Linked DNA regions of Drosophila melanogaster. The protein of the gene in region 2 purifies or fractionates together with the protein of the main gene of each other region. This does not show direct contact. Each region holds a gene or a part of one and is shown on either strand. Other genes may lie near its edges. The genes, in order: CG14207, up and TpnC41C.

Region 1 (3,760 bases), 6.0 Mb from region 2:
CTGTATATGGGGCGTGCGTTTATTCCGTGCTGAGTCATTCAGATATCACGCAGCGCTTCAATTGACAACACGCCACAGCCACAGCCAAGCCGCTTAGGTCAAAGGTTGCGGACAGTGGGCAGTTATGGGCGAATGATTGAATTATTTGGCAAGTATATATCCAATACTACTACTAAGCTACTAAACTACGTGGCCAATCTGTGGCGATTATTAGGCTAATCGCCCGAAGCAAGCCCTGGCGCACAACTTATGCCGCCACTGTGAGTTTCCCTTCATTTCCAATTAAATTTGCAGCCAGGAGGGCACAATACCAATTTGGGTTAATTTCCTTTCACTGCCAACTTTGACGTTGAATGGGCAAAGTTGTGGAGAGGAGCGCTACCAAGTTCTGAAACAGACGGAAGTCTGGTGGGGGGGAGGGGGGTGGAGTCGTAACATTTCTGTTGTGGCCATGCAAATGCAGTGGCGACCATGGCGAAGGCAACAACAAATAGAGTCCATCGGTTCGATTGCGTCATACGGCGAGGTCGTCCCAATAGCAACCAAAACTGGCGCCCACGCAACGCAACTCCAATGGAAAGGCTAACGAGACGCGCAACCGCGACGGCGTCGGCGACATAGTATTTGCCATTCGCCTTTGGGGCATTGTTTGTTTATTAATCGCTGATTTGGGCAATAAACCTATGTTCATTGAAAATGCCACTCGTAACATTCAACTGGAATTTCTCTCTCTCCCTCTCTCTGATTCGTATGAATATGCGAGGGTGTTAAAATACCGCCGAATCACTTAATTGACTTGCAAATGGAAATAGATTGCTAGGTAAACGCGTTTGTCACTTATGTATGCTTTAAAAACAAGTAACTACAAATGGAAATAGTTAGAGATTTAATGAACATTATTCATGTGTGCCACCGATCGTTTCAATGCTTTGCGTTTTCAAATATTTAATTTTGCTCGCAGAGACCAGATTTTAATATCTTATCTCATTATCAACAATTACATTTTTCTGCTCAGCTAGAAACCCACACACACACACACATATAACGGAATATCTTGGCACAGGTGATTCTCAAAGTTCGAAAAATTCCGTTATGCCCTACATAACGGTTGCATAAACCGTATGGGACTCGAGATCGAGCGAAAGGGGAGGGCACAAGACGCTGGCTAGCCATGTGCCGGGGCGGGGGAGGGGGATTTACTAGCGGGTGGCGGGCAGCAGATACACATGTGTTTCTTGGCCGGAGACAGCGGCGGAGAATTTAGAACTGGTGACTCATCCTCCCCCAGAGCGACGGCAAAGAAATACACATAGTGTATCTGGGGCGAGAATTGAAGCGGGCCGCTCGCCTCCTATGAGGCCCACTGTTTAGTACATACATATGTATGTATGCACGTATGTACATATGTACATACGTAGGAGAATCTGTGGGTGAAGAGCTCCAGACCAGTGGGCGATGTGGCAAGATGTGCGCCTATATTTAGAGGAGCCAACAACGAGGCGATGAGTCGAGCGATTCGGGATTGGGTTCCATCGCAGTACACCCGGTAGAATCAGGCTATGTGGAATTATCCCAGTGTTGGGATCCCACTTGTATCACTATTACGCTTACCTGGTGGACTCGAAGAAGTTCGCCTCGCGGTTCATCAGCTCGTGACGGAACTTGGCCATCTCCTCCTCCATTTTGCGCATCTCGGAGTCGAAGCGCTCGCGGATGTTGCTGAACTCCGTGTCGATGACGCTGAAGTCGCCCAGCTTGATGGGGATATTCCTCTTGTTAGCCTCGGCCATTGTTGTGCTGTTTGTGGTGGTTTATTTGGTGGTTGCTTCGCTAGATGGAATCTCCAATCTCTTCGCTGTACACTGTATACCGTATATACTGTATATACTGTATACCGTTCTATTATTCTCTGTTCTGTTCTGTTCTGCTCAACGCGCTTTCGAGCTTGTTCACTTGCTAATCGACGGAGCAACCAAAAAAAAAGGGAACTCGATGGGTTTTCTATATGTATTCGAAACTCAAGACGTTCAAGTGTGTGATTTCGGTTGGACGTATCGCACAGATAGCCGCGTTTCAATTTCTGAACTGTTTTGCATTCACAGTGTGTCTTTGCTTTTATAGCTTTCGTACCGATTGTACTTCGATTGCCGCTGCGCAGCAGTGTGGCGATATCGATAGACCGATGAAGCCGCATTTAGTCATCGATTTGCGGATTTGATTATGTTTCTATTGCCATTGGATCAAAAAGAACTTCTATCCGCAAAGGGAATTGTTTAAGCGTACTTTAACCACTAATCGTTAGCGGACCACCCAAAACACTATATTCGCTGTATTGATTTTGTATTTTATGGAAATAATGACGCACGGGGAACACATTTAGAAGTGAAACAATAGTTGTAAGACAAATTTGGTTTATACAAAATGACCGAAAACAAGGAAGCCATGATTTATTTTCCGTTAATAAGCTAGTAATTCATAAATGCAATGAAATAACATAACACATTTCAAAGCTCCTAAAAAACTTTCTAGGAACAAGTGTTCAATTAGCAACAATTAATTAGTTGATGATCAACTTGATCTTGATAAGTATGCTTAAAACTTCTCGCGTGGGAGCCATTCAGTCATGGAAGTGAGTTCCTCGAACTGTGATTCCAATTGCATCTGGTTCAGCATTTGTGTGCTGTGAGTGCGAGTGGAAAGTGTGAGTATGAGTCGTGTTGAGTTAACCGGTTAACCGATCAACGCTTCCTACCGTTTTGGGAAATGATCTTCGGTATAGAGAGAAAGAGAGAGAGAGAGAGAGAGAGTTGCACATTGGTGGAAAGTGCATTTTCCGTCCTGCGGTGGGTTGGCATTATCCATCGTCCTAAAATAGAACATCTATGGCGTGATGGCCCACGATATCTTGTCCATATTCGCGGGGTTACTTACACCCAGAGCTCATCATCATTAAGACCTTAAATCAAAAAGCCAATTCCGCCCATTGTGCGAATCGATAAATCCCAATATTAGACCGGGTGGGTGGAGAACGTTGGCGGCCCAAATACACGCAGAAAAATATATGTCATATATACATATGTAAATTTAAATATCTCTATGCTGAGCTAAGATTGGAAATTGTACTGTTGTAAGCTTGTTAGCTATAATAGGATATGTTTCCTAATCTAACAGAGAGGCATTATAGTATCTTAGTATCTGTGTCGTTTTCTGCCAGTGTGCTTGGCCATATCCATGGTACTACCCACTCCGCCGCATCGGTTTGTTTGTAAACAAATGCGAAATGACTCAGCCGCGTGACATTGGCGGTCGGAGTCGAGAATCGGGAATCGAGCCAAGTCGAGTCCATTCGATTCGATTCAATTCCTTTTAGGGAGCGTCGGCCAGGGGAATTAAAATTTAAATTGAAATTAATGAGAGCCGGATTGCAAAGTTGCAACTGCAGAAAAAATGTGCGATATATATTCATAAGTTTTATGAACCATATGCATATTTAGCTAGACAAACTAGATTTTTCTTCAACTTAACAATTGCATCTCTCATCCATAAGAAAACTCATTAGCTGGAAATTTGATATCTTTTAAAGCTGTTATTGCCTGCACATAACTTACATTCTTTTGTTTTTTTTTTTTAAGTGCAAGTGCGACATATTAAAATGCAATATTTTGAATCCGTGACCGTTTTACTGCTCGAAATTCCATCGGGGACAACGGCAGTTGTGCCATCAAAATAATTATAGACTTAATCACGAATTTCGAAAATA
Region 2 (3,760 bases):
ACATCATAATCTTTCAAATTCAAGAAGAAAAAAATAAACGATAAATTCCGTACGCTCTGCTCTAAAATTATTTAATTTCCCATGCTATCTATATCCACAATCTATAACTGTGTGTGTGCGAAGGAGAGAGTCGTAGTCCAATCTATGTATGTGTGTTTTTTCATTTTCCTCCGATTTTTTCTCAATTAAAAATAGACTTTGGGGCAGTATTGAATTTCCCGAGAGCCGAAAGCTTCCGAAAACATCAAAAAGCTTCGGACAAAGCCTTTTTTGAAAATTTTCGTTTTTTTTTTTACCTTGGCACTAAATCGGAAAATCTAAAGAAGCTTTTCAATTTATATATGTATATGTATTGATATATATTTGGGCGTACTTGTGTGTAATGAAAAGAAAATCAAATCAAATGCCATTCATAGATCGCCTGTATATATCTATGCCAGTTATTATGCCACGAATTTATATATTTAATATGCTATTTGAAATTTCTATGATTATGAATATTCTATTTCTATAATCTTTGCACTTTTGCGTGGAAGTGCAATTGCTGAGCTTGTATTTTTAGCCTTAGATAAACTGGGTCAGTTTTGGGGCAAGTGCTTGGAAATGATGTGAAATGTATTGAGAAAAGTTCTGGAAAAATTGAACAAACTTTTCAATTGAAACTGGTAATGATCTAAATATCATCCGACAGACTATCAGAAATATACGTCTATCGTCTTTTCACACTTACATATACAAAAATGTTACTGATCATACATGTTAGTTTCAAAAACATGGTTTTGAATCTTACTTTTTGTCTTTTCAAGTTCAAAGTTTGAGTAAGTGTTAGCTACTTCCTGCCTAGCAACATAAAACTGTCATATGCTGTTTTTATATCCTGTCATTATATCCTTATCGAATTTACTCTACAAATTTCCCTTTCTTTAATTCAATCTATCTGTGCCCTGTTTCCATTTATAGTCCTATATATATCCTCCAAAAATCTCCAGATCTCTATTCGCCATCGATCTTGTGTGGGTGGCTATAGTTCCGTCTCGTTTTCGCCTACTATATCTTTAACATATCTGATCGGCGCCTGCGCGGAAAGCTATTGAAAAAAGTTTTCACTCTACGTATCTGTGTGTGTGTGTTTCTCTGTGTGTGTGTGTGTGTGTATCTTGGACATTTTGCCAAGGTAAAAACACACTCGCTCGCGCACACATACGAATCGAATTTATTTTTAAAATTCGTCGAAAAAAATTTGAGAACTTTTCCTCTCAGATCATATAACACTTTCAGAAAGCAAAAAGATATACATATATGTATATGTATATTTATATGTATAGATTCCTGTCTGGCATTGTTGTTGCTTTTGATTTTGTTGTTGTTGTTGCTGCTGCGGCTAATCCTGTTGTTGTAGTTGCCGTTGAATATTGTTTTTGGCGCCGCCAATGCCTGGGCGAATTTTTTCAAATTATTTTTAGCCTTTAGCCATAATAAAAAAAAAAAGTTTAAAAAAAAAAAATTTTTTGAAAAAGTTGGCTTCAGAGTTCGTTTTTTTGGTGGCTTTCAAGTCATTTATTCGCACTATTTGTTCGTAGATTGCACTTTAAAAAAATTTCAAAAAAAAAAATAAAATGTTATATAACACTAGGATTTTCCAATTCGTAACTTTCTTTTGTTGATGTTCGTGGTTCGTGGTTTATTCGCAAAGGATTCGGTTTTCTCGTTTTCGATAACTTTCTTTTCGTTTTTAGGCACACAAGTTTATTTTATATTTTCTTTTTATTTTTTTGGTGATGCAGCATTTGAAGGAGATGTGAAGCAGCAGTAGAGCAGAAACAGAAAAAAAAAAACTTACTTAGGGAGAAAAACAAATTGAATTGAAGTCCGAGCAGCTGACGTCGTAGGAGCGAATGCTGCGGTTCGACTAACCAAACTGACGATGAAAAGCGCTGCTACACGTTATGTTAAAGAATTTTTCGTCGCGTTCGCGGAAAAGCCATTTCCACGCACACACCGATCGCCTTTCTATATAGCCAATAGCTGGCCATGTGTGCGAGCAGGCCAGCGCTATATGCCACATATCGCTGGCCGATGTGGCAACAAGTGGGTGGTGGTGGGTGCGCCTGCCTGTGTTGGCTGTGTTCGATGTGTTTTGGGTGAATTTTTCAGGTGGGCTGCAGCTGAAACATAAACTTGTACACGCACACAGCCGCCGTCGAGTTTTCCAATTTTCCATTTTGGCCAGAGCGAGATGAGGCATACGATATTAGTATATACTATACATTAGACCATAATGGCGCACGCACATAACTAGATCATACAATAAGTATATAGCGCATACGGACGTTCGGTGCGTTGGCGGCATTTTACACATTTGTTTTTGGAATCAAATATCGTAGAGCATAAATTTCACAGCCATTAAAAAGTCGGCCTGCATATATTGCTCTATAATATATACGTACAGATGTTCGTGCCGATATATAGCACATATAGTTTGGATTCCTCAGCGGATCGTTGCAGCATTTGAACCCCAGAGTGCACGCCCTACAAAATCTCCAACCCAGTCCGCCGCGATCACCGATCACCCCCTATATATATATATATATATATATATATTTATTTACCTATATCTATATCGCGATCGAACTGCTGACGTCGAACGGCCTTAGGTGGCCCCATCGCATTGCCATTTGTCTAACACTTGAATCTATTCGTCATTGTTCCGATTTTCTTTTTTTATTTCTCTCCTTTTTCTATGCTATTTTTTTTATTTTACTTTCTAACAGATACTTTTGGCAAATAGTTTCAGATACACTTACGCGCCTTGCAGCACTTTAAGCTATCGAATTTAATTCATTCTTTATTGGGTTATTTTTTCGAAGCATACAAAATCAATTTGAAGAATTTGACAAAATCTCTTTTTCCTATATGTAAATTTTGCCAAAAAAATTAATTTTTTCATATCGTTTAATAAACATCATAACACATAAGAAATATTTGTATTAAGTAAGGGTAGTGAAACATATTTTGTTCTGTATTTAATTTTGTTTCTGTATTCTAGTATTAATAAAATTAAAATAAAGCAAAAACTTACAATATTTTAAAAATGTACTTTCATCAACATCGATTTCCGTTGTTTTTTTTTTTGCCAAATTTTTCATAAAATTAGATATAAATTCTAGAAGAATATAAAAAAAAAAAAAAATTTTTAGTTTTTCGCTTGCACTTGTATCTTCTTAAATTATTAATACTGCAAAAAAAAATATTTGGGCTATCTCAAAGTTCCTCAAAATCTGGGTAAAAATTTTTATACATACATGATTACATTATATATGATTACATTACATTATATTATGATTACATTACATTATATATGATTATAGAAAAATTAATTTAAGACTTCTCTTAATTCCTTGCATAAACAAGTTGTTCAAATAAATAGACTTCTGTGTAAATTAAAAACATGCGATGAATATTATTTTAAAATTATATATATTACAATATTCTCCAATAGTAAAATTACTATATAGTCGCAAAGTTTCGGCATTTGTTTTGATTTCGTTTTTGGTTACCAAGTATCTTAAATTTAGAACATTTTTGTATCTGCACCTCTGCGAAATGCAAAATGCACACACCAGATACGCAGATAGATAGATATGTATGCATAGATAATTAGATATGTATGTGTATGTGATATGTATGGGTCTAGGTATTATGCATGGCTTGCCAAAAACCACAAAACTACAGAATCGCAATGGGACACAGGTGGGCAGTT
Region 3 (3,760 bases), on a different chromosome or scaffold from region 2:
AAAAGCCGAGTTGATATTTCCATGTCCGTCTGTCCGTATTCAGCGTCTCGATTTCAGCTTTCTGAAATTAAGCTTACAGATTCTAGAGACATATACGGAAGGCAAGTTCATTGACTCATGCTGCCACGATCACTCTAACGACCACAAATCGCAGAAAATTGCCCACACTTTTTAAAAATGTTTTGATATTTTTAAATTTTTTTGTTTGTAAATTTCTATCGATTTGCAAAAAAACTTTTATGTCTTTTAAATTTGTATCGATTTTCCAAAAATCTTTTTGCCGCGCCCACTCTAACGCCATAATACCGCAGAAAACTGGGAGAACCCCACTATAGCATTCTCTCTTCTTCTATTTCTTAGTAAGATGTTCTCAAGTTAGCTCCACTTATCTGCACTAATCTTGACCCACTTAACTTGTTAACTAGAGCACTTTCTTTACCTTTTCTTTCTAAATATGAATCTCTGTTTTAGAAAAGTAACAAATTCAATAAACCCCATCTTTGATATTTTTGTAGAAAGAAGCTTTTTCGTCCCTAAAAAGAATATAGGTATAAGCATAATCAGTATCAGGACCACTACCCGAGTCAATCTGGTCGTCAGTTGGTCAGCTATTCTGATCATATACACGCGATTTTGGGATCCATAAAAGCTAGAAAATAGAAACGACGGATTCAGAAGAATCTTTAAGGCTACTTTCAAATTAACCACGGATTTCGATATTTATACCCATTACTCGTAGAGGGTTTACTAGATTTGTTGAAAAGTATGTAACAGGCAGAAGAAAGAGTTTTCGACTATATAACGTAAATATATTCTTGATCAGGAACAATAGCCGAGTCGATCTGGCCACGTCCGTCTGTCCGTATGAACGTCGAGATCTCAGGAACTATAAAAGCTAGAAGGTCTTGTAAATTTCTATAGATTTGCCAAAAAACTTTTTGCCACGCCACTCAAACGCCCTAAAGCCGCCAAATCGGTCACGCCCACACTTTTCTTTATTTTTTTCTCATTTTACTCCCCAATATCTGTCGATATCCCAGAAAAATAATGCAATTCGCGTTCGCGAACTCGACTATAGCATTCTCTCTTGTTATACCTTAGATAGGCAGGAAGATGGACATGACCTGGTCGATTCGACTAGTGATCAAGAATGGGTGTATATAGATGTAAATGTACCTGTACATGCGGACAGACGGACTGACTGACAGACGGACCAAAAACGTAAGATTCCTTAAAGTAAAAATGTAGTATTTGCAAATCAAATACATGTGTGAGCTGTTTAATGATGTTTAAAGAAATATTAGTTGAATGTACAATATGTTTATTCTCTGACTTAATTGAAAAGTTATCGAGCAAACATTGCTGGAACGTGGGCGTTAAGCATTAACTCTCTATATAAAACGTTATATCGTTACTTATTTTATTTGAACTGATTGCACCCTGAAAAACGTTCAGTATTGAGATCATCTGAAATAATTTTGACTCCTTTAATCTTGAAATTTTAACTCGAAGTAGCTTGGAAACTTATACTGGGATTATTTTTTTTGCCGATTAACTTACGCTCATTTTTTTAGCTCTTTGGATTAATCTCTAATATTAAAAAATTGAACACTCCGTTAATTAAAAGCTAAATAAACAATTGAAGACGAGAAATAAACTTGGTATTGACGCGATTAAAACACATATGGGCTATGTGTCTTCTGTGGATGCATCTCAACATTCAGGAACATTTTAGACTTAATACGATGATAGCTCTGCAACTATTTTTGTTGAAACAAAAACAACAATTAAAACCAAATAAAAAAGACAACATAAATATTCCGTATGTCATGTAACTCAAAGATAATTTTATCCACAAGACAGAAAAATACTCAGAGTTTTATTTTTAGATACACAATATTCATCAAAATTCTTTATTTTTATAAACCGTACATTGCATTAGATCTTGGAACGTATTATAAAATGGTATTTGTGAACAAAAATTGCAATTCAAAAACAAGAGCGAACGCTATAATTTTGTTTCTCGCCCTTCTGATACTCAGCGTGTGGGAGTGTAAGGGAAATGGAGACACAAAAAACAAAATTAGAAAACACTCTTCACGAGATTACTCACAATTGCAACCTGGTAGCGGTTACATTTATTGTGGACGTGGCCAATCTTTTTGGGCATACTTATAGAAATTGGTCAAAAAAATTATGAATAGAATAAAAATATAACATTTCCTAAGCTTATACACCCTCGCAGTTATTATATATAAAAAATCATGAAAAAATCATATTATGAAACATAAAACAACGGAATATATTTTTTATACCCTTGACTACAAGATTCGTTATTAAATATGTAACAGGCAGAAGGTTGATTTTCCGATCCTATAAAGTATATACATTTTTGATCAGAAAGTTTCAAAAATCGGTCCCGCTCTCACTAGCTGAATAGCGGATCTATTGCTTTATTTGCTTATCTTCTGGCCAATTTATGTTTGAATACATTTCGAAAATGCTCCCCGTAAGTGGTGCAAAATCTAAAAAAATTATTATATTTACATTAAGAACCTATGTACACTTAAAACCAAAAGCACTTATCTATAAGACAAAAACTTGAGTAACCAAGAGCTAGAGGAGACTTCTCCGACACAATAAAGACCACTCTGGTTTTAAACTCGAAAGAGCTCAGTATGCCCCCTTTGGGAATACCGATAACTATATCCAAACTCATCAGCTTCCCCCTTTGGACACACTGATAACTTGGGCGCTGCCCGAGTTAACAGAAAAACGTTTTTTTGGACCGATTCAATGCGGTCCGAGTGAACGACGTATTGAGGACTCCAGACAGGTGGCCATTACTCAAAAATCAGACGGACTAAGGTTTTGGTCGTGTAAGGATCATAAAATTCCTTTGGCCACCTTTTTATAAAGCCAAGCACACCCCTGGCCTTATTTAATATTCGAAATATGGTCTAAAATTTAAGTTTAGGTCCAGAAAAACACCAAGATCATCAACCCGTTTTATTCTGTCTAAAGAGCGACCCTTTAAGTGCAAGTTGTGTGTATTGGTTGATACGGCAAAAGGTCATAACTTTACACTTGGAGCCATTTAAGTTTAGTACGTTATCACGGCACCATATTTGAAAGATATCTAGATCGGATTGTAAGTTCAAACTGGACTTATGATATGAATTCGTATCTTCGTAACAGAACAAGACGATCAATTCTTTCTACGATAGAAAAGGCGTTTGATTCCCTTGGATTGATAAGTCCAACTCTAAGTCGGTGGCAATATTTTTTCTGAATACTAAAATAAGACAGTCTGGCCTATGGCCTTCGATTTCAAAAACTGTGGAACAAGCCCGTTGTGAAGAATCAAATTTTTTTATTATATAATATCATATTCATTTTCGAGTGTGACAGGGACAGCTATGGCTAAGGGAGGAATATGAGTAACAAATGAACGAGTCCGTGTATTAACTGTGATCATGTCGCATGCGAGTATTCCGGGCATTGCCGCAGAGTTTTCCCATCAGTGTTAACTACTATTATGCCGTCTCCGAGTATTACGGGCATTTTCGTAGAGTTTCTCAGCAGTGTTACCTGCAACGGTGCCGCCTGCGTGTAGCCGGCCCCGTGTGCATTAGCTTGCCACCAGTATAGCTGTAATTATGCCGTCTGCGAGTATTTCCGGCATGGTCGCAGAGCTTTCCCATCCGTGTTAACTACGATTATTTGTAAACCAGGTTCTGAGGCTCGGCAACCCGAGCAA

Evidence for each region.
Region 1: the proteins of up (region 2) and CG14207 purify together in Drosophila melanogaster (affinity purification with mass spectrometry, with the first as the bait; one large-scale study listed by BioGRID). This does not show direct contact.
Region 3: the proteins of up (region 2) and TpnC41C purify together in Drosophila melanogaster (affinity purification with mass spectrometry, with the first as the bait; one large-scale study listed by BioGRID). This does not show direct contact.

Annotation. Positions count from the first base shown.
Region 1 is NC_004354.4:19,603,534-19,607,293, reverse strand, and holds the start of CG14207 (uncharacterized protein), read right to left. Parts: upstream 2,096-3,760; 5' UTR 1,791-2,095; coding exon 1,612-1,790; intron 1-1,611.
Region 2 is NC_004354.4:13,600,578-13,604,337, forward strand, and holds the start of up (upheld), read right to left. Parts: upstream 2,002-3,760; 5' UTR 1,841-2,001; intron 1,789-1,840; exon of another isoform or gene 1,652-1,788; intron 1,078-1,651; exon of another isoform or gene 791-1,077; intron 1-790. UniProt on the Drosophila melanogaster protein: Troponin T is the tropomyosin-binding subunit of troponin, the thin filament regulatory complex which confers calcium-sensitivity to striated muscle actomyosin ATPase activity.
Region 3 is NT_033778.4:5,068,422-5,072,181, forward strand, and holds the start of TpnC41C (troponin C at 41C), read right to left. Parts: upstream 1,790-3,760; 5' UTR 1,567-1,789; coding exon 1,561-1,566; intron 1-1,560.